4 linked regions of the Tamandua tetradactyla genome follow. The protein of the gene in region 1 interacts with the protein of each later gene in a pairwise test. Links are inferred from orthologs where the notes say so. Each region holds a gene or a part of one and is shown on either strand. Other genes may lie near its edges. The genes, in order: NUTM1, SH2D4A, MORN4 and ZNF277.

Evidence for each region.
Region 2: the proteins of NUTM1 (region 1) and SH2D4A interact in binary tests that used the Homo sapiens proteins (3 or more experiments, as listed by UniProt). The two-hybrid records come from large-scale screens. The link is inferred for Tamandua tetradactyla from reciprocal best matches to the Homo sapiens genes NUTM1 and SH2D4A.
Region 3: the proteins of NUTM1 (region 1) and MORN4 interact in binary tests that used the Homo sapiens proteins (3 or more experiments, as listed by UniProt). The two-hybrid records come from large-scale screens. The link is inferred for Tamandua tetradactyla from reciprocal best matches to the Homo sapiens genes NUTM1 and MORN4.
Region 4: the proteins of NUTM1 (region 1) and ZNF277 interact in a two-hybrid assay, tested with the Homo sapiens proteins (2 studies listed by BioGRID). The two-hybrid records come from large-scale screens. The link is inferred for Tamandua tetradactyla from reciprocal best matches to the Homo sapiens genes NUTM1 and ZNF277.

What each region holds. Positions count from the first base shown.
Region 1 is NC_135340.1:45,698,042-45,706,138, forward strand, and holds the start of NUTM1 (NUT family member 1), read right to left. Parts: upstream 3,026-8,097; coding exon 3,008-3,025; intron 2,736-3,007; coding exon 2,673-2,735; intron 1,372-2,672; coding exon 1,296-1,371; intron 1-1,295. Other genes in the region: NOP10 (H/ACA ribonucleoprotein complex subunit 3), read left to right, coding at 3,300-3,353, 3,635-3,775. UniProt on the Homo sapiens protein: Plays a role in the regulation of proliferation. Regulates TERT expression by modulating SP1 binding to TERT promoter binding sites.
Region 2 is NC_135329.1:19,295,684-19,302,792, forward strand, and holds the start of SH2D4A (SH2 domain-containing protein 4A), read right to left. Parts: upstream 3,264-7,109; 5' UTR 3,113-3,263; intron 2,906-3,112; exon of another isoform or gene 2,798-2,905; intron 1,091-2,797; exon of another isoform or gene 978-1,090; intron 1-977. UniProt on the Homo sapiens protein: Inhibits estrogen-induced cell proliferation by competing with PLCG for binding to ESR1, blocking the effect of estrogen on PLCG and repressing estrogen-induced proliferation. May play a role in T-cell development and function.
Region 3 is NC_135339.1:58,901,367-58,908,838, forward strand, and holds the start of MORN4 (MORN repeat-containing protein 4), read right to left. Parts: upstream 3,249-7,472; 5' UTR 2,992-3,248; coding exon of another isoform or gene 2,937-2,991; intron 2,916-2,936; exon of another isoform or gene 2,560-2,915; intron 1-2,559. UniProt on the Homo sapiens protein: Plays a role in promoting axonal degeneration following neuronal injury by toxic insult or trauma.
Region 4 is NC_135327.1:151,535,270-151,542,864, reverse strand, and holds the start of ZNF277 (zinc finger protein 277), read right to left. Parts: upstream 3,221-7,595; 5' UTR 3,208-3,220; coding exon of another isoform or gene 3,123-3,207; coding exon 3,117-3,122; intron 1-3,116. Other genes in the region: DOCK4 (dedicator of cytokinesis protein 4), read left to right, coding at 3,802-3,838. UniProt on the Homo sapiens protein: Probable transcription factor. Involved in modulation of cellular senescence; represses transcription of the tumor suppressor gene INK4A/ARF, perhaps acting via the Polycomb group (PcG) complex PRC1.

The sequences.
Region 1 (8,097 bases):
TATAATAGCCAGGAATGACTACAGAAGATTAGATAAGTACCAGGAAATGGGTGAAGGGTGGGAGATGTAGGGAGGTTTCCAGAGCTGCCAGACGTGTTAAAAATTTGGCGCTGCAGACTGCCTTGCAGTCCTTCTGCTTTGAAATCCTAAAACCAGAAATTTAGGAGTCACTCAGAACAAGACTGTGAGCTGGTTGCTTAGAGAAGGATAATTGAAGTCTGGAACACAATTCTTGCTCACGAGTTGCTTGTGTGGATTCTAGTTAAGGGGACTAAGGATAAACAAAAGGTGCTTAATTAATTAGGACGTGTCTCCTAGGACTTTAAATAACAATAATAGAAGATAATCTGCCTAAATTCATACTAATCCCCCCACCCCACCCTGCTCTTATAAAGAGCATTCCTCTGGCAAACTGACAACACTCAGCTTCTACTTCCTGGCCTTGAAGGAGACATGGAATATAAGCAAATTAGTCATCTCAACAGCAGCGCAGAAGGCCACAAGTATGGCCGAAAGTACTGAACAAAATGAAATTGGTCTGAAGGCCTGAGTCCCACAAAACATAAAATCAAAGCTTTCTTCCCAGTTGGAGTTAACCACCACCTCCCTGGGCCCTGATGAATCAAGGAAAACTGCTATACAGAAAGAAAAGCCATCTCTGGGGCTGGAAGTTGCTGTGAAGCTCTGAGCCCTGGCAGTTAGAGTACTTTCCAGCCTAGCTTTCAGGAAAATGTTTCCCTGCAGGCTTGGCAACAGATGAGACACTGAACTGTTTTTTTGACTAAAATCATCCCCCAACCCTATCTTCTCTCCCTCTTCCCTTTATAAGATGAAGAGTGACCTCATCTCAGTTCTCTCAGGGCAAAATGCTAGAGCAGGCACCTAAAGAAAAAGACTTAAGAACTTGGGCCTTCCCCTTGAAACCCTTCTGGGCCCCTCCCACCACATACCTCTGCCCCTGCTGCACAAACACACATTGATGTGGTCCCCCTCCTAGAGAATCCAGTTCCTAATTGCCAGCCTTTCTCTACCTAGCCTACTTCCTCTGAGGTGTCCTAATCTACCCCTAAGGAGCCCTCTTCCTTCCCCAAACTCCAGTCTGAATTGTTCAGTCTCCCTCCCCAGCCTCCCCCAGGTGTGATGCCTTTGGTGGGGTCCACAGGTCTCCTCCCTCTAGGCCAGCCCAAAGAGCTTGCTGTCAGACAAAAGTGTCAAATGGGAATCCCCAAGGGTCTGAGTAGGTGGCAGGAGAGTAGGTGGCAGGAACCCTCCCTATCTGACACCCACTGACTTACCTCCATCTGAAGCTATCCTCTCAGATTTGGGCACCAACTGTGGCTGTCTGGAAGCCTCCAGGACCCAGAGAATAAGCTGGCTTAGAAGGTACCAGGGATCCAAGAAAGGGAAGGTAAAGATCGAATCAAAATAGAACTAGAATCTAGGACTCAAGGCATTCTGCAGTGGGGGAGGGGAGGCTTGGAATAGGGGGTACGGATGAGGGGAATATTCCACGAAGGACTCTGAAAAATAGGCACTAACTGAGTTTGGTAACAAACTAGGGTTTGGCAGCACAATTGGCATGTACCTCTTTAGGGCAATTTGAAAATACTTTCTCAAATTCCCAACACAACAGTTTTACCTCTATTTACTTCAATTCTTCACCAATATATCTAGTTTTGCCTCTTCAGCCCCACCCAGTTCAAGAGTAACTGACTTCCTCTTAATAACAGGTTGTTGGTAGACCCTTGACTTAATTCAATGATGGCTGTATTTTCTAAACGAAGTTCAGACCACATAGTCTGCATACTGAATCAAGGCGACTGAATATTTGAAATTCAGATTGTCTCAGAAGATCCAGGATAGTTGATTGCTATATGCCTATCACTTACTCGCAAAGTTGTCCTGCAGCCCTCAAATGGTCTACTACCATAAGCTTGGCAGTCCACATCAGGCCAGCCTTACCAGTCATCCCTTCTGCCGAAAAGCCCCACCACATAAAAAAACTGCCATGTAGCCTAAAAGTTCTAGACCAGAAAGTTCTTCTTTTTGTTTGTTAAATTATTTTCTTGTTGTTAAATACTTAATTAAAAAAAATAATTTTAATTGAATTGTTTTAAATAAATGGTTCCATGCGAACCTTGAACAACCGTGCTGGCTCAAGATTAAAAAATTCAGCCTCCCAGCTTCTAAGAGACAACTCAGGGTTGTTTCCAGAAAACAGGGAATCAGTAAGATGACATAAAATGAGGACTTCAGGGAAGCCCTTTGTTTATTTACTCCTGGCTAAATAGGTAAATACATTAGCATGGTTCAAAAGTCAAACTGCAAAACAGAATATACAGCAACAAGTTTTCTTCCTGTAACAGAGTTCTTCATCCCAGAGGAAACCAATATTACCTTTTTCTTATGGACCCTTGCCGAGGCATTTTGTGCAAATGCAAGCTATATTCTTTTTTTTTTTTTAAAGCTCTCAGGTTTTTGTGGTTATAAATTAATAATATGTTTCAGTGTTTTTGCATTATAGATATTGCTGCAATAATCATTTTTGTAATGCTATCTTGGTTCTAATTTCATTTGTTTAAGCTACAGCCCCATAAAGAAAATTTCTACGTTCCTTTAAAATTCAAAATGCCACTAGAAGTGTTTCTTTTATGCTATCATTAGTTACTCACCACTATAAGAAAAAGCGCTGAAAATGCGGGAAAGAGACCTGAGTTTGAATCCTGGTTCGACCACTAAAACATACTTCACCAGTTTCATAAAATAACTTCACGCTCTCTCCGCTGTGCAGAATATTGAATACCCATCATGCACTCTTTACCGCCAATAGTTTGAAAAGGGGCGGGGAACCGGATGCAAAAGCGGGGAGGGGGAAAAATTATTTTAAGGTAAAGGGGTACTGAATCCCAGAGTCCTTTTCTCTCCTGGTGTTAGACACCCACCGCCCCTCAAATGGGTGGGCATCGTAAAACAAAGACAGAATTCTATTCATTAATGTTCAACCCACGTTCACTCCCACCCCCATCTAACGCCTAGCAGTGCCTGGCACACAGTGGGTACACTCCACGCATCAAGGCATGTAAGGTTACAACTGCAGGCCCCCAGGCCAAATCCTGCGATAGAGCGCCCCCTTCTGGTCAGCTGAAGAAAATGCCAAAAATGGACTACAATTCCCGTCATGGCTTGAGACAGACTTCCGGCTATACCGGAAGGACGTTGTGAGCACGTGAGGTGGTGGGACAGGCAGAGGCGCAGATAAGCGTGCGGACGGAAGTGGTGTCTCTGCTTGAAGCGTGGTCATGTTTCTCCACTTTTACCTCAATGAGCAGGGAGACCGGGTCTATACGCTGAAGGTGAGGAGAGGATACTGCGAGAAATGGGGGGCAGGGGGCGGCGGCGGGCGGACGAGACCGGCTAGGTTTGGAGATCCAGAAATGCCGGAACCGAGGCGTGTAGACGCAGGGTTGTGCCGCTTCTTGAACAGACCGTCGCGTCTCCTAACCCTTTGCTTGCGCCTTATCGCGTTCCCACCCGCACCCCCTATTCCAGCCTCAGTCAACCTTATGACGCCAGTAATTGAGTTTGCCCCTCACTCCGGTGCTGAGATCGTGTTTTCTCTTCCCTTCTCGAGCAGAAGCTTGACCCAATGGGACAACAGACCTGCTCAGCCCATCCTGCCCGCTTCTCCCCAGACGACAAATACTCGCGACACCGAATCACCATCAAGAAACGCTTCAAGGTGCTCATGACCCAGCAACCGCGCCCTGTCCTCTGAGGGTCCCTCATATTTCATGTCTCTTCGGTCTCCTGCTACCCCTCGGAGTCTTTCTTTAAATAAGCTCTTCAGTCTGTGAATCTTGAAGCCCTGTTTTATTACCACCCTTGGTCTTTGGAATCTAGTCGCATTGCCTTTGATCATGCTTGTGTGAGGCAATCATGTTAGCATCTCCTATAAAGGAAACAAGTTTGAATCTTTTCATTTTGTGAACTACTGTTGGGTTATTAAAGACAGAATGATTTAAAAGAGCTCTCATTTTGTGTGTTGTGGGAGAAAAGAGTTGGTAAACAAAAAAAACGAGGGAGATGAAGGGGGAAATGTCCCAGAGCATGGCAATAAGATCACTTGTAAGAAAAACTCAGTCGCTGCTGTAGCAGCGAGTAGTGATGTGCTGTTGTTGATCGGAGTGCGTCGGGAAAGGGGAAGAAAGGTTGAGAAAGACCTTCACAACTGTCTATATTCACTGAAAAATACCCATGTTGTCATTCCTTGTGCCCCCTAGCAATGACATTTTGACTCAAAATGGAAGAGTTTATTGAAAAAGAATAGCAACCATATTGTAGAGGAAGGCCAGTGGATTGGAAGTCAGGAGATGAAGGTTTTCCCCTATTTGTGCAACTTGAAGAATTTGGTGCTATTTTTCACATCATTTCAACGTTCTCTTCCAGCTCTAAAATTGAGAGGATTTAGTGAGTCTTTCTTTTCAGTATATCTGTAGTGTTTGTCCAAACTTTATGAATAGTAGTGCCCACATGCATATTTTCTCTCTGGAAATATTCCCAGAACTTTAGGTCTCTAATCAATTCTCTTTTTACACAAACCTAATTTTGCATTCTTTCTGGCAGCTACTATGTGGAACTCTTCATGAACTTTAATTTAGGAGATGAGGTGAGGTATGAGAGGTTCAAGAAAGAACTTGAAATCTTTTAGGACCTGAGCTTCTATCATGGAGCAATAATAAATGACTTTCAATCCAATTACTTCATATTAAGAGGGTGCAGAAAAATACTGTATCCAGGCACTCAAGAAATGCTAGGTTGCTTCTTCCTCTCATTGTCAAGTTAATCAACCCCTATTTCTCAGTTGTGTTACTTGGCTTTTGACGTTGGATTTGAATGTGCCTGCTCAGTGCCATTGGTTTAAAAATTGCTTTTTGGAGAACATATTCTAATTCAGCAATCTTTTCCTACTTTGTCAAAATTAGCAGAAGTAACTCAAATCAGCACAAATGTCATTTATAAAGACTACAATGGAAAGGGATAGATAACATTTCGCTTGGCCCATGTTGTCTGACCATCCTAGCAGAAAAGTTGAGGACAGTTGTTGACTGCTGAGAAAGAAGGAAGTCTCTGGACTTGGATCATAATCAACGGAGAAAGATGATTTTTAAATTAATTACTTAAACTTACAAAAATGTTGAAATGAGATAGTTTCCTTTTGAGCAATTAATTTTTTTTTTATTTTAGCCTAGTCACTTTCAAAAAGTTCTTAACATTGGGTAGAAAGGATGTTAAGGAGTTATCCTAACCTATTAAGAGAGTAATGATTGGTGAAATATTTAAAGTTATACGAGTAACAAGAAAAAGGGCCTGATGCTAAAAGTTTCTTTTTCTTAAGAGTGGGTAAATGAACTCTACTGTTATTTTTTAATGTTGACTGCAATGCTGATTTTTTTCTTAAAAAAAAAAAAATAGCATTGTTCCCCATGGAACCTGCAACATAGACTGAAATTAGACCCTGGGCTGGAAATGTTCCTAGTTGAAGTAGAGGAGAAAAGGCAAACTGTTGTGCAGTAATGAGAACTTTTTCCTTCGGTATTAACATCTCCTGGGACATAAACTTATAGAGCTTGATGAGTGCTCAAAGACAAGAGAGGAATCTTAAGAGTTATAGTATATTAGCATTACGTAGGATATATAAGTAAATGTAAGTACACTGTGATAAAAAAAAAATTGGTGATGTAAAATCCAGCATTTCTTAACAAAGGAAAGTCTGTGGGTTTCCAGTGAAAAACAGGCCTGCCTGAGTTAAAAATATCCCTTGGGGAGATGGATTTCTTGCTGTATCTGTAAGAAAGCTAGGAACCTGAATCAAGTACCACAGGCTTTATAAAGGTTCAGGCTTCAGGAGCTGCACATTTTTTCCTCATTTTGTTACCTGGGTCTTTTAAAATGGACTTTGGACTTTGTGTACCACTTGATGAAAAGGGGTTTTCCTGGCTTGGGTCTTTACAGTTCTGAACCAATTTTTAAAGATGCGGTTTAAACAGTTCCACTTGTGAGGAGCAAAGACCCGGGGAAAGCCAAGGGCCAATTTCTGGGACCAGAATGTTAAATGTCTTGATCAAAGGCACAGCAAATAAATTTAGTCAACATTTATTGAACACCTCTTTATGCATTAAATATACACACTAAAAAATAACTCCATCGCCAGTAAATGTAATAGGGAGAGCACTGGGAGTAGAGAGAAAGTATCTCAATGTCTTTTCCAGGTCTAAAATTATTTATCTAAAGTGTTCTTTAATGGAACGTTCAGTCTGACTAGAAAATGGGCCTACTATTTTTCAAAAGACGGAAACAAGAAAAATCATGCAGTATCCAGTGCGTCTAAAATTGCTGCCTCTACGCTTTAGGATAGAATTCTACATAAAATTCCCATAAGGGTCATACGTAAATATTTGGAATGGGGGGATTGTTATAATTCTTACAGAGATTATGAATGGTATTTTCAGAAACACTCTTATTAAAGAGAGATGGCCCTTGAGGTCTCCTCTTTGAAATGTCTTCCAAGTACTGCAACCCCGGTCCTACCCCGCGAGGCTTCCGCCCCTACATCCGACTGCCAATTTCCGCGATACCCCAGGACCCTCAAACGCTCGGTCCTACTCCCCGCCCCCTCCGCCCACCCGGCTCGCCTGGGCCCAGGGTGGGCGCATGCGCGCAGTCCTCCGTCACCTCGCGGGCCGCAGAGGCTGGGCGGGGCTCCCGGGCGCGCGCAGGACGGTGCCGCCCTCCGACCCTTCCCCCAGGTTTTTTTTCCGGACTGTTAACCTCGAATGAGGAACGAGTCGGGCGGGAAAGGAGGGGCTCCGGCGGCAAGGCTGCAGACCGCCGGGCCGGGCGCTGGGGGTGGCGAGGTCACGTAACGGCTGCTTTGGCGTCTGACTGGGGAGGGGGCACCCTCCCCTGCTGCCGGAGCCCTCCCACGCGCGCCGCGGCTCGGAAACAGTTACCGGCTAGTAAACAACAGCTGCGCGCGCACCAGCATCAGCTGGCGCGGGGATCGGCACCTGCGACCTCCTACTCCCCTACGCCGGATCGCCCCCTCCTTCTCATCCGGTGGCAGCCTGCGTGGCAGTCTCCTCTTCTGCTAGAACCTGAAGGACGGCGAGGGGCTGACCTGCGCTGGGGTCCTGATAGGGGAGGAAGCATCTCCTGTCACACGCAAGACACATCATCAGTAAGCAGACCGTGAGCTCGATGGACTGACAACGACCTGCCAAGACCCCGAGCTGCAGTCCGAGGTGTCTTGATCCGCTAGCCTTTTCCTCCCAGATCCCAGGGACCTTTACTGCCGGGAGAAGAGCGGGCTCGCCACCCCCGCAGACATCTCGGCGGCAGAATTCCGATCTGCCTTGCACCCTCTGCTGCTCACCCTTCTCTTTCTTCTCCATCCAGTAGTGGGATATTTTTCCCGTTATGCATGCGCACCTCTCCCACCAGGCCCAAGTGGATTATTGGCCTCAAAAACATCGGGTGGCTCTTCACACACCTCCTCCCAGCCAAACCTGTGGGGTATTCACCTGATGCACAACAGGTGGCCAGGTGTACACTTTTTTTGCAATCTGATCCATACTGTATTCGCCTGATAGGGTGGGCCTGCACGCACTTTGCTCAACTAGAACTGCGGGACACTCACCAGATAAAGGATCAACTACCTCAGCCAGAACCTGGGTGTTAAGGGAAGGGAGGCTTCACTTGCTGCTCTGAGACCATGGCACTGAATTCTCAGCCCTGGATCATGGGAGATAACTAGGTAGCTCTTCATTCTGAAGGAACGAAGTCACACAAGATTGGCATCATTTCCACCCCTCCCCCCAAAATTATTTTTTCAGCTATTGGCGGTGCACTTTCTAGGATAGTGTGATCGAATTCTGAGTAGAAGTAGCCTTGAGATTTTTTGTGTAGTATGAATCAAGGTAATTAAGGTGTTTTGTGTTTCTGTTTGTTTTTTTTTTTAATTAACCTTTCTGTTTTTGCAATCAAAAGTATCAGCATAGGAGGCAGTATTTGCGGGAGGGTGTTCTTTTTCCTTTGTCC
Region 2 (7,109 bases), on another chromosome or scaffold:
AGAGGCCAGGCTATTGTCTAGAGCCCACGTGGTTCCTCAGCACATCCGACTCCACTGCTCTGAGATGAAGTGGTAAGAAACCTAAGTCATTGCGTCCTTGGCATTCCAGTAAACGTCCTTATGTTGGCACACTGTGACTAATGATGGACTCACACGGCAAACATGGCAGAAAAGGAGCAGTTCAGTGAGGCCTGAGGTTTCAAGTTTGTTCCCCATTTTGAATGGGGCAAATATATAGCAACAGTGACGGGGTGGGTCAAGACTAAAAATGAAAAGCCTCGAAGTGCCAAATCCACATTCTCCCTCCTGTCCCCTAAGACCAGTAAGAGCTCACATTTACCTGGACAGGTACTGTCTTAAGCACTTTTCATGCATCAACTCATTTAATCTTCACAATAACCCTTAGAGTCAGGTCCATCAATCCCTCCATTTCACAGAAGGAGATGGGGCACAGAGGCTGGAAAGCGGAGAGTCTGCTCTAGTGTACTCTACGACACAGAGGCCTCTTTGTGAGTTTGTGAGCCCCGAATCAAAACCTCACCACGGGGCAGCACGTCTGAATTTCAGAACAAAGACCAGAAACTCCTGCAGCAATAGAAATGCTAAACTGAATGAAGGCACAGGACTCAGAGCGCAAAGCCTCATCGTGACAGGTCATACATACGCTTGCAGAGGTAGCCAGTATTGAAATCACCCTTCCCCAGAAAGGACAGGAACTGTCATGCTGGCCCAGGCGTGCATACCATCTGCCAGCTTTGTCACAGGCACAGAGAATTTCCGCATTTCCCCATCCCACACGCCGTCAAGGGCAGCACACAGTAGGCGTCTCACGCATGGGATGGGTCCTACCCCACTGCTGTGATGAAAGGCTCAAGCTTTTTTACGAAGCTCTGTACCAAGCACGCACTTCTGGCATTGAAGTTAACCAGCAGATCTTAAAGGAAAGACACTGGTTTTATCAGGTCCTCAGAGAATACCTGGGGACGCAGCTGATCAAATATGTGGCTTCAGGCTGCTGAACGGTATTGCATGCCTCTGCTGCTGCTGGTTCACCTGTAGAGATTCACGCTTTCTCCCCCAGGTGTTCATGCTGCCCGGAAGGAAAATAACCAGGGCACAGTGTGCTGATAAGGACAACAAGCAAGGGCCTGGGACCCGGCTCCGCCTCTAATGAACGGTGTGACTGAGCCCACGCTTCATTTCCGGGGGCCTCGGTTTTCTCATCTGTGAAATGACAGCCAGTTCATGCTGTGGACCTACACAATTTGTAGACTCCGTGATATAATATAGTTTGAAGCTATGGAGACAAGTGGAGCCAGGGTAGAGAAAATGGAAATGAGGAAATTAACTCAGCAGGGGTTTTCCTACTTTCACTCCCCACAACAATCATTGCTGATACTGATTCAAAGTTATTTAACCAAAGTTATCTAATCCCTAAGACATTTAGTGCAGCAACTTCCAGCTAGTCAAGATCCAAAACATTTAAAGTTTAGTTAATTAACTTGGTTTTCTTCTGGTATAGCATTTTGCTCAAGAAAAAGAATAAGCAGCAAATCCAACCCTGCAATTTATCCCCAAAACCAACTTCTAAGGAGACACAGGATCCTTTTAGTTCTCCACAATGCCCCCCCTTCCACAGCCACTGTTCTTTAATTTTTTTTAATTTTAATAACTGAGCTCCCCCCACCCAAAGGGACCGAGGTACTTCAAATAAATACTGTGACATGGACAGTAAAACTTTCATGTTAAGAATATAGTTTTGAACTCTAATTCTTTGAAGACAATCGTCACTTCTCTATCCTGCGAAAGGACTCATTCTGAGAACAAAACTAATTACCAGAGGTGACAGTAATTTGGTAAGTTGTTTTATAAACATTCACCATTCTTCAGAAATTTAAATTTACTGTAACACAAGATTTATGGAACGAATTCCAGTCATGCCAAATCAGTGCCCACATTATATCTTTCATTTTTTATTCACTTTTTACAAATGATCATATTCGTCCAAGTCGTTGTTTCTGTTAAACAAGCCGTTGTTTCTCCTAAATCAAATAAAAGCCTTTTGTGAGATGAAGAGAATCTCAGTTTGGAAAGAGGCGCAGCGCTTGCTTCTTCTCCTGGCAGGGACAGACAACCCTGAGCTAACTTACAGATTCTGACTGCTCATTGCGTCTCCCACCCCCATTCCGGCGCCCGCGTGAGTCCTGCGGGCAGGGTGCCCACTTAGGTGAGGAAGGTCACCGTGGAGTACACCGGGGCCACAGCCTGGGTCTGCCTCCCGCGCGGTCCGGCTGAGCTCCGCGACCCGAGGGCGGCGGCCGCGGGGACCCGCAGCGCCGGGGCGCGTCTCGCCCCACCCCACGTGGAGGCGCACCTGCGTGCGGGCGCGCGGGGAGGCCACAGCGGGGGTGCGGCGCGGGCTAAAACCGCCTCCCCGGGACTTTTCTAGAACAGCTCCTTGGGAAGGAAGTCCACCCGGTACTACCCACACGGAGGATGCGGGTGCGACTGGCCCGCACGGCCGTGGGGGTGGGCGCCGCCAAGTCGGCGGGCTGAAGCGCGCGGGCGTCCCGGAGCGCGCAGGGGCTGGCGGAGGTGGCGGAGGCCCGGCTGACGCCCCAGAAGTGTGCCTGGAAGCTGCAGAGCACAAGACCCTCCTACGCAGCCAACCCCAAGGCCGCCCCAACTCCGCGGGCGCGCATATCCCCGCGGGGATCCCCAGAGCTTCCCCCGAAGGCCTCCCTCTCCAGCTGCTCCCCAGGACCACAAGTCCCCGGGCCTCCGGGGCGCCGCTCACCCAGCCGCCTGCTCCAGACATCGGACACCCGACATCGGACACCGGTAGCCCGTCGCGGCCGCGCTCGCCCGGCTCAACCCCACACCTGAGCCTGCCCGGGGCGGGACGGGGCGGGACGGGGCGGGAGCGGGGGAGGGGAAGGGGGAGCTGGGCAAGGGGAGGGGCGCGCGGCGCCCGGGACCGAGGCCTCGCCAGGCCGGCCCTCCCTCTGCCGCCCCGCCTCCCTGCAGTCCCCTGCACCTACCACTCTTCCCCCCGGGGGACACCCCCACCCAGCCCCACACACCCTTCTCTTAACCCCACCCCAGCCTTTACCTGTTTAGAGCCCGGAGCTTGCCTGGGCTGGGTGACCCGAGCACCAGCCCGGTCCAGTTGGGCCGCCAGAAATTGTTGGGGAAGCAAGGGAGAAGGAGGCTGAGGCGCCTGCGAGCGGCACAGACTGGCTGGACAAACACTCAGGCCAACTTGTTGGCAAACGGCGTCCCTCAGCCCTGACCCGCCCGCCCGCCCCGCCCCACCCGCGGCCCGCATGCCCGGGGCCTGACTGGGCGCTCGCGGCCCCACCCGGGCGCCTGGAGAGGCACCAGTGCCGGGCAGGCTTGGCTGCCCGCTGCATCTCAGGCCGGCTTGTCCGGCGCGCTGACCCCGAGGTTCTTTGGTCCTTGGGAGCGGGGCCGGGGGGCGGGGCGAGGGATGGCGGGCGACAGGGCCACCTCCCCCTCCACTCTCCACTCTCCACTCTTAGTTAATTGGGGAATGACATCTGCAGTCTGTGACGTCTTGCATCTCTCTGGGTCCTTCGGAACTTATTAATGTTGGCAGGTCTGGCCACTGCAGAACGCAGTTTTGGCAAGTTGGGGGTGGGGGGGGGTTGGAGGCTTCAGGTACGCTGGCCCGGTCCCACCGGCCCAGTCGGCTCACCCTCTTGCATTCTGCTCCCGCAGCTCCGGAACTTACTTGTGTTGTTGTTGACATTAAGTAAGTGATCAAACTCTTGGGCACTTGTAATTATAGGTGTGGTTGAGTAGGAAAAGCTCAAGGAGGACAAAGCAAAAGGAGGAACGCTGAAAAAAGACAAAGGGAGTTGAAATGAAACAAAACTGGAGAAAAGAAAGAAGGTCATGAAGTCTTTTGACTCTCAGCAAGAACAGGTTAGGGTGGCTCATGAGAATATTAGGGAGGTGCTGACTGACTACAAAAGAGGAAACCTCGGAGGAAAGTTCAGCAAAAGCAGAATGGAAAGTTTGGAAGGCATTTTCCATTGTAGAGCAGCATTCAAAATGTGTGGAGAAAACAGCCTGCTTTGACGAACCTCAGCTTGCCTCTGTGCTGGGAAGAGATGTAATAAACAGGGAGTGTTCTCAGGTGCTGGTCTACACAGCCTACCAGATATATTCATGAGCCAGATTTGCAGGATTTAAAAATAACTTTCTAATTCCCAGCCTCTCCAGACTGCAGAAGTTAGAAGAGCTTGGGGCAGAGATCAAATCCTGGGTAAAGTCAGCAAACAGGACCCAACTATTTAACAGGCCATTCCAGGGATCCTGTCTGGGGAGAATTTCTGGTCTAAGATCTGGTTCCCATTGCTTATTAAATGAATGACCTGTGGAGTGCTTTAGGTTGAAATGTGAGTTGCCCCTGGTTAGCTGTTGTGGCCGTCTGAAAATAAATCCTAAAACTTGATGTATTGAACGGTTAACGGACTTCATTAGCCAGGATAAATTCCATAGGACATCGGTAACAGCCAATTCCCTTCCTCCACACATTAATCTCCCTAGGCATCCAGAGAAGTCCATCTGTGTAATAACTCCCTTTGTCATAACAAATCTGTGCCTCGATTTCCCCATTGAATAATTGCAGTACTTTTCTCATTGAGTTGTTATGAGCATTAATTGAAATAATACATGTAATTCATTTTATTCCGTACTACATAGTATAATTTCAAGTTCCTATCGCCTCACACTTAGGCTATGGGTTTTGCCTCTTTTGGTAGCCAGGCTCCAAATTAGCCAGAAGATCTCTACCTCCTATAGTTTCTGCCCACATTGTACCAGCGTTGGTCTGTGGTGAGCAATAGAACATGGCAGAAGTGATGATATGTCACTTCTGACATAGATTATAAATGACTCTCTCAGCATTGCTCTGTGGGAAGCCAGCTGCCATCTCATGAACAACCCTCTGGGGAGGTCCACGTGGAGAGGGACTGAAGACTCCTGCCTACAGCCTTTGGAAGAGGCTCTTGCAGTCCCAGTCCAGCTTTCAGGTGACTGTAGCATCAGCTCACGGCTTGATTGCAAATTCATGAGAGACCCTGAGCTCGAACCACTTAACAATCCACTGTCCAATTCTTGACCTACAAGCTGTGAGATAATTTTTTTTCAGATAATTATTTATTGTATTATGACGCTAAGTTTGGGATAATTTGTTACACAGCATAGATAACTAATACACCTCTAGTTTCTAAGCCAGTTTTACCTAGCTTTAGTGTACAGGAAAAATTATGTGGGCAGCTTATTTAAATGCAGATCCTGGACCTCAAGACCTAGGAAATATACATTTGTGGGGCCCCAACATCTGCATTCTGAGCAGCACTCTGGGTGGTTGGGCTTAAAATGGAGCGGCAGATTATGCATTCAGGAACTGTGCTTTAGGTTCTTCAGGTCAGAAATTTGTGAATGCAGTTATCAAATCAACCTTTTCAAATGTTAACTCTGATCCATCTCTTTCCCAAAGAATTAAAATTAAACTGCTTACAAACTTTGAAGCACCAAGACAATCTGACATTAATCTCCCTAAGCTTTATCGCCTTCCTAATATAAACCCTACATTCAGATAACCTGGCATTTTCCAGACCCTAAACCTACACAGATCCCACAGCTTCACACTGTGCCCTCTGTCTAAAATGTCTTGCCTCACAACTTTGCTTATGAAAACTCCACCTGCCCTTCAAACTCTAATTTTTAGGAAATCTTTCCTGACTATCCCAAATCCAGCCCGAAATGGTCCTTCCCTCTCCCATAGGGTTATAACACTTGTATCATAGTTTAGCATTTCATACATCCAAGAAACATTTAGTGAACACCTACTGGGTACCAGGCTCTGTTGTGACTGGGATCTAGAAAAGTAGACAGGCAGGGTCCCTGCTCCATCTGCAATGCAGCGCTGTCATGCAAAGTTAGCTATGTGTATGCTTTATGCCCTTTGAAATCAAACCTCTTGATGGCAGGGACCATGTCCTATGGAAGTTTGAATCTACCCATGCCCAAGCACAGAGTAGGTGTTCAATGAATGATTGCTGTGCATATAACTGTGTGTTAATGAATGCAGACTGTACAGAAACAGAGCAATCATTTGGAGCCTAGTCTCTTGTTCCTTTTCTCTCATTGTCCCCTTTTCATCCATGTTATGTGCCTTTCCTATATTTAACTCTTTCCTCGTCTTTTATGTCCATATTTTTTTTCCATCATCTTTACTTTGTTTCCCAGTCTCCTCTGCCATCTCCTAGTATTCCCTCTTTTAATTGACATAATCTGGAATCAAAAAATACTTTAAAATATAATTCCAAAAGCAGGCAATAAGGTTGTTTTATATTACTCCAAAAGAAAGCGAATTGCCTTTTTATTTCCTGGTGTGGCTGTTAGTTACTTTTCCACTCACTTTGGACTAGTGGCTCTCTGGAGAAAACAGTTCCCCACCCAATGATCTTGGATGCAAAGTCACAGGAGTGGGGAAGGATGAGGGGTTCACGTGCCAGCCACACTCATACCGTGTGGGGTCTGGGCACCCAGGGCCTGGGCAGGGGACAGGCACTGAGCCTCTCCTGAAGACTGGGCAGTACTGGCAGTGCAGAGATGTATAGATGGGTGTCACCACACAAGTGTGTGGGAGTACTTCCTCTATCTACTACTGGTGCTCAAAGAGAAAAGCTAAAAATATTGTTTACTATACACTAAATATTTTTTGTCAATTACCTGTAGTAATGGACACCATGACAAATTTTAGTTGTCATGTTTCTGGGCGTTCCTTTTAGAATGTTGTTTGGGAACCATGCCGCCCAGGGCTGTCTTGTCCGGCACTGGGTCACTAGAGGGACCACACGTAGAGACTCTGATATGTGAGGCACCCCCTGGAGTTGTACAAAACAGCAGCTCTGATGCTGCCAGAAAGATTAGAGAAGCAGCTCTTCAGCTCTTATAAATTAAAGGTCAATTTGGGTTTAAGTTCTACTGAAAATGAAGGTTCTCTTCACATTTATCCTTTATAAAGGAAAATAGGATATGCACCAATATCATTTTTGCTGTCAAGGTCAGAA
Region 3 (7,472 bases), on another chromosome or scaffold:
AAAACAGGCCAATTTTGTGTTGTCGACTCTTAGGGAATATACCCTAAATATTTCAAGGAGGCCAACGAATATTGAAGGATTATCTTCTTTTTATCCAATGTGGTAGATTGTATTTTCCAAAGATGGTTGCAATATTTCCTGTTCAACATCTTCTTCTACAATTTGACCTTGTCATTGCCCCATCCAAAGGTGGAGTCTAAGGCCCCTCCCGTTGAATCTAGGCTGGTGACTGCTTCAACCAATAGAACAGGGGAAGTAAGGGTGTGCTCTGAGGTTACATCATAAAAAGTGATGCAACTTTCATCCTGCTCACAGGTACACACCTGCTTAGAGACCTGAGTCACCAAATAAGAAGTCTGAGGCCTCTAAGCTGTGAGGAAGCTAATCTACATAGAAAAACCACCTGTCTGTGCTCCAACTGGCAATTCTCCAACTGGCAGAATCCCAGTCCAGGTGCCAGCTGTGAGTGAAGGAGCATTCAGATGATTACAGCAACCTTAAATTCAGTCTTCCCAGCTGAGGGCCCAGATGTTAGTGGAGTAGAGAGGGCACACTCACGGTGCGGTGCCTTGTCTGAACTCCTGACCCAAAGAATCCATGAACATCATAAAATAACTGTTTTAAACTGCTAACTTTTAGGGTAATTTTTTATGTAGCAATAGTAACTGGAATACCATCTTTCAACCTAACCCTGACAATGTCCTCTCCTGTTTGTTTTCAAGAATCCATACTTCAAACTTCCATTCTTTTTTGATCTAGGAAGTTATAGTAAATTCCCCTCAGCACCTGCTTGTCCAAATGATGTCCATTCCCCCAAAACAATCAGAAGTGCTAATTAAAGGAACATGTATAGGATCCAAGGGCTTTGGGCCTCAGTTGGACACATTTGCTAGAAACTACTACATCTGTCCAAATAGTTGATATTGTCACTGCCTGGGACAGTATCGAGATTTTCATTTATGACTTCTGTAATTGATCATGCTAATTAATAGTGAGCTGCACAAGCACTGACACAAAAAGGAATTTCACCAATAACCACGGTCATTGAGACAAATCAAATTTAATAAAATATAGCCAGTTGTTGGAGACTGAAAAATCAATACTTCAGCAAGGGATGCAAATCAGTATTTGTATCAGTTATTCAAATAAACATTTTTTTTTGGCGGGGGGAGGCGGTGCATGGTCTGGGAATCAAACACGGGTCTTGTGCATGAAAGGTGAGTCTACTACTGAACCACCCGTGCACCCATCAAATAATCTTTTTAAAGAGAGTAGATGGCCTAGAGATTTAGGCTGCAAATATACAAATGGAATCTAGTTACAAAGCCAAGATGATTCAGCACTTCTAAATAGACACCCACCCCTTCTGCCCTCCATGATGGGCTGCAAAGCATCAGTCCAAACATTTACCTAAAAGAAAATTACTATTTTTTCTTTATAAACCAGTAACAATACACTATTAGTCCGCACCACAGACTACATCCCTGCTAGCTTCATTTTCTCCTGCCCCATACATTTACAAGTAGGACTCTGAGACAATAAAGAGAACTTCCGTTTCCCTTCTATTTGTGTCTTTTAAAAAATTTTTTTAGAAATAAAACTTAAACAAAATGTATGCCCTCACAGTAACCTATATCCAAACTGAGAGAATTAAAAAACAAACACCTTAAAGGGGAACAGACTTTCAGTCAAAGAATATTGTTCGGAAGCAGTCCCACCTTAACTATTCACACATGCGTACATACTGTCCCTCTAACGCCACCCTCCCCACACAACTTAGGACTGTCTGGTCAAAGTTCCCCTTTCAGTTATGAAAGAGAGCAATTCTTGAGTTTTGAGAATCCTAAAGAGAAGAACATGAAGGCTTTGATGAGTAAGTATTATGCTTCTAAGGAACCTAGAACAAAGACTCAAATGTTCCTTTTCAAATGTTTTTAAATAAGCTTGAATTAACTTTATTATAAGTGTAACTCCCCCTTCCCCCATTTGAAATGTAAACGAATGTATCATTACTATTTAAAGATCTTATTCAGGAAAACTGTGGGCCGGTTAGACTGAAGAAAGTGCGAAGAAAATCCTGGCACCAGGAAAAAAAAAAAAAAAAAGACTGAAGGGGAGAGGGGAAGAGGGAGAGGGAGAGAAGCGAGGAGGGAGGGAACTGGAGAATGAGTAACACTCCCAAAATACTATTCTAATTTTTGGGAGAGGAGACCGTTCTAATAAAAGAATTACTCCCGCTGGTCCCCAAGCAGTCTGGAGATGCTAGACTGCCGGGAGACCACCCATCAACTAACTGAGGCATTCCGGTATCTCATTCCTCCACAGGAGGGATGTCTCTCCACCCAGGTGTGACAGAGGCGGGCAGTGGCGCAGACAAAGCCTTAGACTTAACGTGACGGCACTTCCTTGTCGACCTCCCCATTCCTTCTTCCACCATTTTTTTGCATTCGAGCCCCACTCCTTTTCCCCATCTCTGCTCTCCCATCCCGGCCGGGCCCTCTGCTCTCACAGGTCTGCCACTCCTTCTCGACAACGCCCTCACACTCCCCGCTAGCTCACCTGGGTGCCGTGGGCGCTCCAGGGCCTCGGCCCCAGCAGTCGAGGAGGGAGGTCCGGATTTGGGACCCCCACGCGCAGCCGGCCTCCAGAGCGCGAACGGGATGGAGCCCCGCTCCCCAGACTCTTCCTTTCCTGCTCGGACCACCTAAGCCCATCCTCCCGGTCCCTTCCCACCCGCGCTGCCAGCCCACTTGGGCCCCACCTTTCGGGACGACTATCAGGCCCCGGCTCCGGGCTTCAGCGGCCGGGACCTTAGCTCCGCCGGGTTCTGCCCAAACACCTTGGTTTCCACAACCTCTACCACCCCCTTCCCTACTTGACGCCGCCATCCCAGGCAGCCGCACTGGGCACAATTCCCGCTTCCCATTGGCTGTTACCTAGGCAACCAGGAGCAACGCCACTCTCCATTGGGCCAGCCGGCTTCTGCGCCATCTTTGTGCGGGGCGGAGTGTTCCGAGAGTCTGGGCCAACTATATGAATGAGGGGTGGGGCTGAACACGCGGATGCGCCGCCGTGACCCAGGTATCCAGTTCACGTCTATCCACGGACAGCCTAGCCGAGATGTTAACCCCAAACAAAACAAAATCTGGGTCAGTAGCAACAGTGAACACCAACTCATGTGGCTCCGATCCTAAAAGGTCTGGCCCGGGAGTTTAAAGACAGAACCTATATCGGGTTTTAGAAGTGCAGCTTTGTAAATTGTAAAGCACTGGGTAGGATAACTGCTGTTTAACGGGTCTCAACCCTATACCAGGCATTGTGATATAAGAACACCTTTGCATTTGTTATAGGGATTTTTGTTGTCACTGTTATTACCCAGACCATTTGTATGCCAAGACTGGAACAAACCCTCTCCAATATCATACACATCAATCCCTTAATCTACATATTTATTTACTGAAGGTATGAGTACAGCAAGGTGTTAGGTTCTGTCAGACTAGAAGAGACATGATCGCCGTGCTCATGGATTTACTGCCTGAATATGTAGAAGAAAAGACTCCTGCACATGGAAAAATCAAAGACTGCATTTAATAATTAAGAGAAGTCAAGCACATGAAAGGAGTAGGCAAACTGCTTTTCTAAATTGAGATTTCTTCATCTGTAGAACGGAAATTGATACTAATTACAATAAAGGCTCTCTAGGACTAGTATGAAAATGCAATGTAAAATGCTCAGTACTATGTCTGAGACAGCCAATATTCAATAAATAGTAGATTAAAAACTTAAAAAAAAAGATTTTGGATACTGTGTTCAAATCCCAGCTCTGCTACCAACTGTGTGTGATTTCAAGCAAGTTATTAAGCTTTGCAGCCTGTAAAATTAGATTGGATTAGCAGATTTATAAACTTCAATCCAGCTTTAACACTCAATCGTTAAGCTTGCTAAATTGTGTGGTATTGATCTTAAATATAATTGCAGTAGTTGAGAGTACTGTCAAGGAAATGGATCTTATTAGATTGGAGAATGTACATTAGAAAATATGAGGACATAAGGGTAAGTAAGTTGAGTGAGGCCAAATTATGGAGGCATCTGAAAATTAGGGAGAAGACATGGTTTCTAAAATATATATTTTGATCAGAGGAATGACATAATGAAACTGGTGTTTTAAAAAAATTACTATGGAGGTGATACCCAGAGATGATCAGAGAGAAAGAGACTGGAGGCAGAGAAGCAAACTCGGAAGCTATTGAAGTAATGTAGTTATGGCATCCTGAGATGTCAAAACTAATATGGCATCAGTGAAGAGGGAAAGAAAGGGAGTGAATACAAGACATTTCATAGTGATGTTTAATAAAGAAGCAACTACAGTGTTAAATTCTTGGATTCAGTCTGACCTGAATTTGGGTCCAGCCATTTATCAATTGTGTCACCACAGGCAAGTTGCTTTACCTCTTGAGGTATCAATTTTCAACATCACAGGGGCTCTTATGGTGGTTAAATGAGTTAATCTATCATGCACATAGAACATGTCTGGCACATGCACACCATTCAGTAAGTACTAGCTCTGCATATGTAATCGGGAATGTATTTTCATTCTTTTTAGTAAAAGGAAAATCAAATTCTAAAGTATAGATGCAGATAAAAATTCTCAGGGTTTTCTAGTGAGAAAAACCTTAGAATTCAAGGGAGAACCCTAAATGTTGGAACTTTTCCTTGACCATAATTTGAAGCTCAGGGGCTAAATAATATGAAAGATACCAAGAAAGCATCAATGTGACTTTGGACCCTGGGACACAAGAAACAGACATCTCTTGATTATTTGATATCTGGGTAGGAAATGAAAGTATTATGTCTTGTAATTGAAAAGGGAAATGGAATCCCTTGTATGGACCTTTGCCTAGAATGGCTTATTTGGCAAAAAAAGGTTTAAAATATTATCATATGTACAAATAAATAACAGTTTTCCAACTTCTAGTGAGCTGTAGCAATACTTTGATTCAAGAAAGAATGGTTATGAAGTATTGGTGACTGCATAGCTAGTTGTCTTCTGTGAAAACCCATACCTCTAGTCTACTGGTTACTTTAAGCATAAAACAAAATGATATCAACAATAACTTCAGCAGTGAAAAATGCTACTCTTTTTTTTTTTTTTTGGTGTTTTTTATGTACCAAGAACTATGCTATCTGCTTTTCATATATTATCTTGATCCTTTTTAAACAAGTGAGGTAGCAATATCACTCCTTTTTTTTTTTTTAGAGGATAAAACTGAGGCTTAGAGCAGTTAAGTAACTTGTCCAAAGTAGTCAGTGTAGAGCTAGGATTTGTCTGATTTCCAAGCCCATGCTCATAGCCATTACATTCTAAACTTTAGGAGGTAATGTTAGTATAAATTTTAACCATAACAATAGTCCATGGATTTAAACAAGCAATTACTCCAACTATGCATCCGTCTTCAAAGATGCCACCCTTACTTATTCCAGAGTTACTTATTGGTGCCTGGGTCTGGAGTTGGTCCACCCCAGATCACTTGCCTGGTGAAGAACTGTTCTCTAAAGCTCTCCGCAGCTGTTCACCTAACAGATGCCTTCTCTTCATGGCTTTCCAGGCCCTTGGTAATCCAGCCCAGCCTTGTTTCCCCTTGAATCAAGCAGGTTACTCTCTTCTCTATATCCTTTAACCTTCCTCTTTTGATCCTCGGGTTACTCACTCATGCTTGGTGTGCCCTCTTTCCTCAATCTTTTCCAGTGATTTAATTACATTCTTCTTTCAAGATTCAGTGAATAGCACATGCCCCACTTAAGGCCTTCGCTGACTCTCTGGCTGCAGCCCCCAATGGGTGAACTCTTATAATAGAAAAAAAATGTTGATTCTGTTTCTCCAACTGCCCCAGAGGCTGTGGCCTTAGCTTGAGGTCACGGCCTGTATCCTCCTTCCTTTCTTTCACTGAGCACCTACTGTCTGCAGACACTGAGGTTACAGGGGTGAATAAAACAGTAGCGGCCTCTGACCTTACGTTTACCGTCTCTGGAACGGTATCTTTCTTCAGTTAACAAATAAGCATGGAGAAATCAGACCAAGTGGACTAAGTGGCACGAGAGCAGGGATTTTTAAAAACTTTTTGTTAAAAGGGGAGGAGGAAAAATTGTCAGCATTTAGCCTAGGAAAGAGAAAGTGAAAAGGAGATTTCAGTGCACCCCTGCTCCAACCGCCACATCTGCGCTCCGGCCCCAGGGCCCAGTCCACGATATCACCGGCTGCTGATCCACGACCTGCAACCCCAGCGATCTGTGCCCCGCCCCTACACACTCCAAATCTGCATCCCGGCCCCCCTGGACCCCTCTCCCTGAACAATGACCTCTGTGCCACCTACCCTACATCCTGATACTCAGGATCCCGGCCTCCACATCCCCACCCACATCCTGTTTGTGCACCAGCCCCAGTGCATCTGCACAGCACCCCCAATCTGTCTCCTGCCACACCCCACCCCTGTGTCTCCCGCACCACATCCTGCCCCTGCGCTCCAAGGTCTACCTGAGCTGCACCCCATTCCCAAGGCCCCTGCACCCCACTACCCAAACCCCTGCCCAGCACCCAATGCTCACAGGCACCAGTCCCCAACCTGGGCCTATACTGAGCTGCAACCCATCACAGCGCTGTTGTGCCCTCACCACATCCCTGCATCCTGCTCCGCATACATCCCACAAATACAAAGCTTTAGACTACCAAAGGAAATCAACTTCCAAAGTCACTTATTAAGATATTGACATGCCTCGAAGGCAACAGAAGATCACTAAACATATCAAGATGCAGACATACAGCCCAACCTAATGACCAAATTAAAACACCAAAGGAGACACAGACTTTGGAACAACTACTCAAAGATGTTCATATAGCTCTACTAAATAAAATTAATGGGATGGCTAATGACATAAAGAAGGTCAAAAAGACACTAGAAGAGCATAAAGAGGAATTTGAAAGAATAAAGAGAAAAATAGCAGATATCACAGAGATTAAAGATGTTGTAGACCACATCAAAAATATACTAGAAACAAACAACAGCAGAGTTGAAGAAGCAGAAGAAAGAATAAGTGAACTAGAGGACAGGACAATTGATTTTGAACACATAAAAGATCAAGTGGCAAAAATGATGGAAAAAATGAATTGGATCTCAGGGCAGTGATTGAACAAAACAAACCACACAAATAGAAGAATCATTGGTGTCTCAGAAGAAGAAGAGAAGACTAAAGGGCTAGGAAGGTTAGTTGAGGATATACTGAGGAAAAACTTCTCAACCCTTCCTTATAAAGAACATAATTATGCAAATCAGAGAAGCCCAATGAATTCCAAATAGAATAAATCCAAATAGACCTTCCCAAAGGCACATACTAATCAGTCTGTCAAATGTTGATGAGAAACAGAAAACCCTGAAAGCTGCAAGAGAAAAACAATCTACTACATACAAGGGAAACCA
Region 4 (7,595 bases), on another chromosome or scaffold:
ATAGATGGCAGTAGAGATGAAGAGAAGGAACAGACAGAAAAGATATTAAAGGCACAGAAAATTAAAATTTTTGTATTGGATTAAACTCAGGACCCCGGCGCAAGATAGGAATCAAGGCTGTTTCCTAGGTTTTGAGGTTGGATTTGATGCCATTGAGTGAAACAGGGAATGCAAGAATAAGTTGACAATACCTGCTATCTTCCATTTCTTTGAGACATTACAAATGAGCTAATAAGGTCTTCAGAGGAAAAGAACTATAAATCCCAATTAACATTATCATGATCTACTGGGCACGCATTTGGACAGAAAAAAGTTGACTCTGTCAGCATATTATAATTTGGAGAAAGAGGTGAATATTGTCAGGAGAAATCATCTCAATCACAAAACCTCCTAAAGGCACTGTCAATTAATAAACCACGGATGTGTCATTTTACTGACATCTAACTCAAAACAGCAAAAGAACAAACCCTTCCCCCGACACAGTGTAAGAGATGTTGAGTTTATTTACTATCTGTTCTTAATTTCAGAGGCCAGTACGAAATCCTAGTTACTGTTCATACATGGAAAGGAAAGCAGTGTTGTGAAAGACTTGAACTGAGATCTAATCAGTTTAGGGACTTTCCTGGAGAGGGTTGGAGCTGTAGAAAGCTTGGCAACACAGTGCTCTCAGGAAGGTGCTGTACCTGCCTGCCTACCATTCAGGAGCTCCTTACAGCAGAGATCAAGTAGAACTGCAAGAATTTCTGTAAATTGACTCCACTGTGCCCTCTGTCCCAGGATATTAAGCACACAGATTGACATTTTAATTAGAACTGAAGGGAAACCTCTCAAAAGACAGTTTTCTAGAAATCAAGATAGCCTCCGATTTTACAAAGACAGGCTAATTTAAGCAGTTGTTTAACAAAAAATACGAATATGCTTTTATATTGTTACCTTCATCTTAAATTTGTATCACCTAACAAGCACTGAAAATAGTTGGATAAAGTCATAGAATGATACATTGATTATATGAAGGGGGATATTCAATTACAACTTTTCCTGCTAACATATAAGCCAACCATTAAACTCTCCCACTGACAGCTATAAATAAGAGAAAATAGAGCTGCTCAGTTCTTTTGAAAACAAATTGGGCCCTAAAATGAAGCTTTCTATCGGTTACTCAATTCAATCCAACCATTACTGAAGCACTGGTCCTGAATTAATGTTTTCCTCAAAGTTGGTAAGGCCAGGGGGAGGTAGGCCACTCTTATATTCTATGGCACTGGTGGGAATGTGTGCCGATACATTTTAAGAGGAAAATCTGGCATATATAAAAAATTTTAAAGCAACTGCCCTAGCGGTTCCTCCTCAAGAAATACACAATCAGTGGGCAAGAATATGTATATAAAGCTCTTCACCGAAATATTACTACAAAACTAAAGTCAACCTAAATGTTCACTAATAGATAAATGGTTAAAGTGTGGCACATCCATTTTATGGAATACAATGGACACATCTTCAAGAAGAATAAAGCAGCAAATGTACTAATACCGAAGACTGACCATGACAGACCACTGAGAGAAAGAAGGGTACAGATCTTTAAGTTTACACAGAATGATTTCTGATAAAAAAAAAATCAAAACCATATAAATGTGTGTTATACAGGAGTATGCTAGAAACCCTTAGAACTTAGAGAGTGGGGCTAGGTGGAGGAGGAACTTTCAGGTTTCACTTTATACACCTCTGAATGTTTTAAATATTTATAATGAAACTTTTATCACTTAAAAATAACCAATGATTTTTAAATGTTTACAATGCTTTTGAAAAGCATGCCCAATTTTCTTAGTTATCAGTTAATTTGTGAGATAAATTCACCAAATATTTCATCTTCAGATCTTAAACTAGTAGCTCTCTGGAAAAATTTCCAAAATCTGGAAAACCTTACAGTCCATTATCAGATAAGAGTTAGTCAAATGTATGGCCAACCAAAACAAGTATCAAGGGAACACAATAATTAACTGTTTAGTGTGTTGATAAAATTTAATTCAGGAGCCTACCAAAGATTTACATCTTTGACAGAGGAATTGAAATGAATTAATTTTACAGGTAGAGCGTTCCACTGATGGGAAAGTGGGAAGAAACTGCACATATTTCTGTGGGCTGAGATAAAAACTTGAGACTGAATGTCGGCTTAACGGTGAAAGCAAAAAAAAATTGAGAGAAGGAAACAAAAACCCGAGTAGGAACCGAAAACCAAATTCAAGCCCCGGAACTTATCCATCAGAAAAAAGACAACTTACTGTGCTAAATTACGACCCAAAAACAAAAGCAGAGAATTGGAGGGGACAGACTAAAGGATAAATGAATAAAGCTGGGATTCCTAAAGACAAAGTTTTGGTCTGTGACTTTTACGGTGAAAAACAGAACAGATCACCACTTGAAAGTCAAGCAAAGTCAAAGGTGCTGTGATGACTGTTCATCACTCCTTTCATTTCTCTGAAATCAAGAGTACAAGTGACCATTCTCTTTCCTCTTTCTCTAAGGACCCTGCACAGGAGGATCTTCCGGGCTCCAATTCTGGAGAACACCGACAGCAATCAATGAGCGGCTAGGGGAGGCTGTGAGACACGCACAGTTACCCTTCAGGGGCCGCTCCAGCCAGTAGCCGGGCAAATCTGTAGAGAGCAGTGACCACCTTGCGACCTGAAAACCTCCGAAAACCAGATAAAATACATCTTCCGAGACAAATCAAGCAAACCTAAGCGGAGGCGGGGGACTGGTGAGGAAAAGCAAGGAAAAAGAGGTGTTTGCTAATGCCAAGGTTATAATCACACGCGCTCACCTGACCCACACCCATTCAGCAGTGAGCGTAAAGCCTGGCGCTTGAAAGCGGAAGGGAGAAGCCCAGGGAGATTCCCTGGCTGTGGGGAAGGCGATTTCACCTAATTTTCTCCGCCCTCTCAGGATCGCCTCTGCGAGGTAGCCGCCCCTAACTCCAGCCTGCTCCCGCCCGTGTTCCCCCTCGCGCCCAGGTGGCCGCAGAGCCGGCGTGCTCCGGGGCTCAGCCCAGCGGCCGGCTGCTCTCCTAGCGGGGGAAAGGAAGGAAAGTCCCCTACACCGCAGGGGCAAGAACTCACCCTCATCACGAAAAACTCTAGCTCTGCCGCAGAAACCACTACGGTCCTCCTCCCCTTTGACAGCAGCCCCCGGGGTCTTAAATGCAGCCATTACGCGGCTCAAGAGAAAGGGGACGGTCGCAGGGCGAGAATGGGGCAGACAAGCACCAATGGAAACGCGGCTCCAGGCGAACTTCCTATCAGTGCAGCGTTTTCTCCACGCCCACGCCGCGCCGTCACGCTCCTGGCCAAAAGGACACGGCAAGCGGACCCTTATTCCCGCCCCTTGCCGCTAATGCCACGCCCCTTCCCGGGATAAAGGCCGGGAACTACAATTCCCGGCGTGCTGTGGAGGCGCTGGGAAGGCAGGGCTGGAAGAGGCGCGGGCGGGCGGGGGTGCACCCGAGAGTGCCCCGGCGTGTTAGTTCAGTGAATCAGAACAATGACTGCGCCGCCGGGTCCTCGGGAGCGCCTCGGAGGACTGTGAGCAACCACCGCCGGGAGAGGGGCGGGCGGCGCAGTCTCCGCCGCGCGGTGTCAACGCCAGGATCAGGATCCTTCAGCGCAGACCCTGCCCAGCGCCCGCAGCCCCGCGGAGCCGCTGAGCTCCAGGCTGCAGCCGCGACTCCGGTGTTGTGCATTGTTGTGAGCCGGAGAAGGGGTGCGTGGATTACAAAGCCTGAAGACCGCGGAGTCCCTTTTAGCCATGTGGATACCTACGGAGCACGAGAAATACGGCGTGGGTGAGTCTCCGCGGAGCGAACTTTTATTCTGCTCTGGCTGGAGCGGGTGCGCATTTCGTGTCCTTGCCCCCGCGCCCCTCTCACTCAGCTCGGCTGGAAATGCCTAATGCTGCCCAGGGCTTTGCCGAGCCAGCCCGGGGCAGAGAGGTGCGCGCCGCGTCGCCTGCCCGGGTCTCACCCGGCTGGGTCTCCTGGAGCGCCGGGACGGCTGGCGGAGTGTGCGATCCAGCCCGCCCGCTCCGGCCTCTCTGCCTGCGGAGTTTGGAGTGGTGACGGTGTGTGTGTGCGCGCGTGTGTGTGTGTGCGTGCGTGTGTGTGCGTGTGTCAAGTTGGAAGAGGAGGGTGAACGGCGTTCCTCTCCCTTCTCCCTCTTCCTCAGAGCTGCGGGAGACGGCAGTGGGCTGCAGCGATTTCTCAGGGTGGGGATGGAGACAACAACAACCGCGCTCAGAGAACATCTCCCAAACAGAAGGGAGGCGCAGAACCTTTCCTCTGGCTCGGATCAACATTCCCGGAGTGCGTAATGTGGCACAGTCCTCGAAAAGAGCCGCTCTGACAGACCGAGCCTAGTGCGAGCCTTGTCCTTCCCTCCCATACAGGGTTTACGGGGTGTGTGTGTTGGAGGTCGGGGGATTGGTAAATTTCAACATCTGCACCGCTTGGCTCTCTTGTTTTAGGCAAGGAACGGGTATTTCAGAAGTGTTTTTTTACTTCTGGCTTCCCTTGTGGCTGGGGGTGAGGGTGGCTGTGGAGTGATGTTGGTGAGGGGGATCTGCAAGCCTGGGTCTTCGAGGCAGGGAGCCAGCTTTTAGGAAAGCACTATCTTGACGGAGGCATTCGGAGAAAAATGAATAGGGTAGCGCTCGCTGTTGTGTGCAAAGGTGAACAACAAAGGACATTAATGTTGACTGATGAATACAGGAGTCTCCCTTCCTTTCCCTCCTCCCGTTTCAGACCGATTACAATTCCCATTTTTGTTGTTTGATTTCAGCTGTGTTGTCCCTGGACGGTTACTCCTTTTAGGTTTGTGACTATTAAGAAGCCAGGCTCTCTGACAATCCTGCAGCGACCAAATGCAATTATAACCTCCCAGAAGGTCTAAGAGAGAAAAAGCATTATGGATCTTACTAACACTCTATTCCTATAATGCCCTGAACTGCCCATTGGTGTACTTTTTTGGGGGGGGAGGGTTCAGACACGTACAGATATCTGCTTACACTTTAAATTAATTTTCCTGCAATTAAAAAGATCTGGAAAGCCTTTCCTGAGAATCATAGTCACAAGGGATTTGTTTTCAACTTCTCCTGGAGACAGGACTTTGGAGTCCACTGGAAGGACTGTAGGATTAAACAGAGGCAACCCATATTTTACGTTACCTTCTCTGGATCTTGACTTGTGAGCAAGACAATAGTTTGTCCTGGACCCACCTTTCAGAACGGCTTTCAGTTTTCACTCTTGTAAAAGTCTGAGCAAAGCCTTTGCCAGGCACTTAACTGTCAAGGAGGAGATGCTGGGTGATTTTGTTTTCCTTATCTTCACTCTCCTCTTTTTTGGGTAGATCAACCCACGATAGGGAAAAGACTGCCTTTGGTGCACTGGTGAATAACCGGAGGGCATCGCCTCCCTGCTGGATTTAACACTCAGTGCAGGAAGTGCAGACCCATCCAGGCAACTCTGTCTCGCTTGGAATCAATCCCAGATGTTGCTTTCTTCCAAGTGTTAAATTATACAGATTATGAATGGGATTTATTTTCTTGATTTCTTTATGTGCCAGGTCACAGCTGGGGTTCTGGTATCGATTAGTTTTTTCTCTCCCCTTTCTTTACAAGCTGTGGGCAGAGGCTTAAAAATCACTCTGGGATTTCCTGGAATGGCAAACCGGATATTATCAGTCAGTGTTTTGGGCTGCAGCAGACACCTTGGTTTTGGCTTGGTGTGATTTGATCGCGGAGTGTGTGTGTGTGTGTGTGTGTGTGTGTGTGTGTGTGTGTGTGGTGAGGTGGAAGGGTCTGTACGCATTTGGGAAAAGGAGGTTGAGTAAAAGGTGAGAACAGAGAGGGGTATTCTGCCCAGAATTATTGCTGCTGTGCTCATTTATACAATATTACACATATAGGAATGCAAATCATCTTTGATTAATTTTTGTGCATTTGGCTTGTGGAGTGTGAAACAGTTTTTTAGAATCCATCTCTTAGACTTTTGTGTGTGTGTGTATGTGTGTGTTGTAAAAATTTTGTTAGGATACTTATGTGTGGACTATTTCTCACCATGGAGAGCACTATTTGTAGCTGCCTATGCTGTAAGGTTTTTTGGTTTTTTTTTTAACCTTGATTAGTGTATGTGCTTTTCTCAACTAATCCTCATACACACTAAAAAAAAATACTTTATGGTCACGTGTTTGGCTAATATCAGGTGTAGTAGTAATTCAGTTTCCTCATTTTTTGAAATCAATCAGCCTTTGTAACTTGGAGTACCTAAGGTTTCAGTATAAATCACTTATTTCTGCAATGACACTTATTTATCACCGTGTATATATGGAATAATTGTGTCTTTATATGCTTACGCTTTAATTTCAAGCAACATACTATAAACATGGATAAAAGTTATTAAATTTTATACCTGTAGTGAGATGTATCAGAGATAAAGATGGTAACCATCTAATGCGTGGGCGCATCTCTTCTATTTAATCAGTGAATTACCTTAAAACGATGTATACTCAAGCATATACCTAAGCCTTCTAGTTCAAGGGAATTAGTTGTAGTGATAAAGCTGCAAACCTGAGGAATAGGGAACTTTATTCCTTTAAAAACATGTTAGTAGGCACAATCATAGGCATATTTTATATCTTGGGAGATTCTGGTTAGCTCTTGATCCTAATCCAGACACTTCTGCTAGCTGGGTGATGTTACGTAGGTCACTTAACCTCTCTGGGTACCAGCCTCTGTATCAAATAATATCTAAGGTTCTTCCCAATGCTAGTTCTGTGGAGCTTTTCCAACCAAATGTGTCCTTTGGAAGGGAAAACATCTCCATTGTTTAGAGGTTGCTATGAGAGAGACACTTTTGCGGTTTATGTATGCCACATGGCTTTAAACAGAGATCACAGGTAAGCAAAAGATGCCTGGCAAGCTGCCAGATATGAGGTGCTACTTGCTTACTTTCTCAATCTGTTTAATTCCCTTTCTCCAGCAGGAGCTCCATGGACAGTGACTAAAGCTTTCCATCTCCCCCTCACAAATTTACTCACGATCATATCTGTCTTCTGCACTCCCTCATCTGTCAGCCTCCCCTCCCCTCTAAAGTGGTGGCAGTTATTCACAGGGAAAGTTAAGAGAATTGCAGATACATTTCTCCATTAATTTGTTCAACAGTCATTTATGCACAGTGTTTCCAGGTGAGCCAGTGCGTCTTCCTAAGACTATAGCTCTCAAACCCAGCCAGGTGATTTACATGCATGAGCTGGGTTGAGCTTGGCCAGAAAAATATGGACTGGATTGATCAGTGCAAAAAATATCCATGAGCCTTCCTAGAAACAAAACTCAGAACAAGCTGATTTGAAGATCACAGGTGTCATTTTGGGAATGAATTATTATAATACTAGTATTACTAAGACCTCACAGATGTTTCTGTCCTCCATATCTCTTGAAGTGTTTTTTTTAAAATTTATCCAGATAGGAATCATGTTCCTTTTGAAAGCTTCCCCTATTTTAGGGAAAGTGGCACCTTCTCTTATTTATGCAAGCTCTTCCGAGTGGCC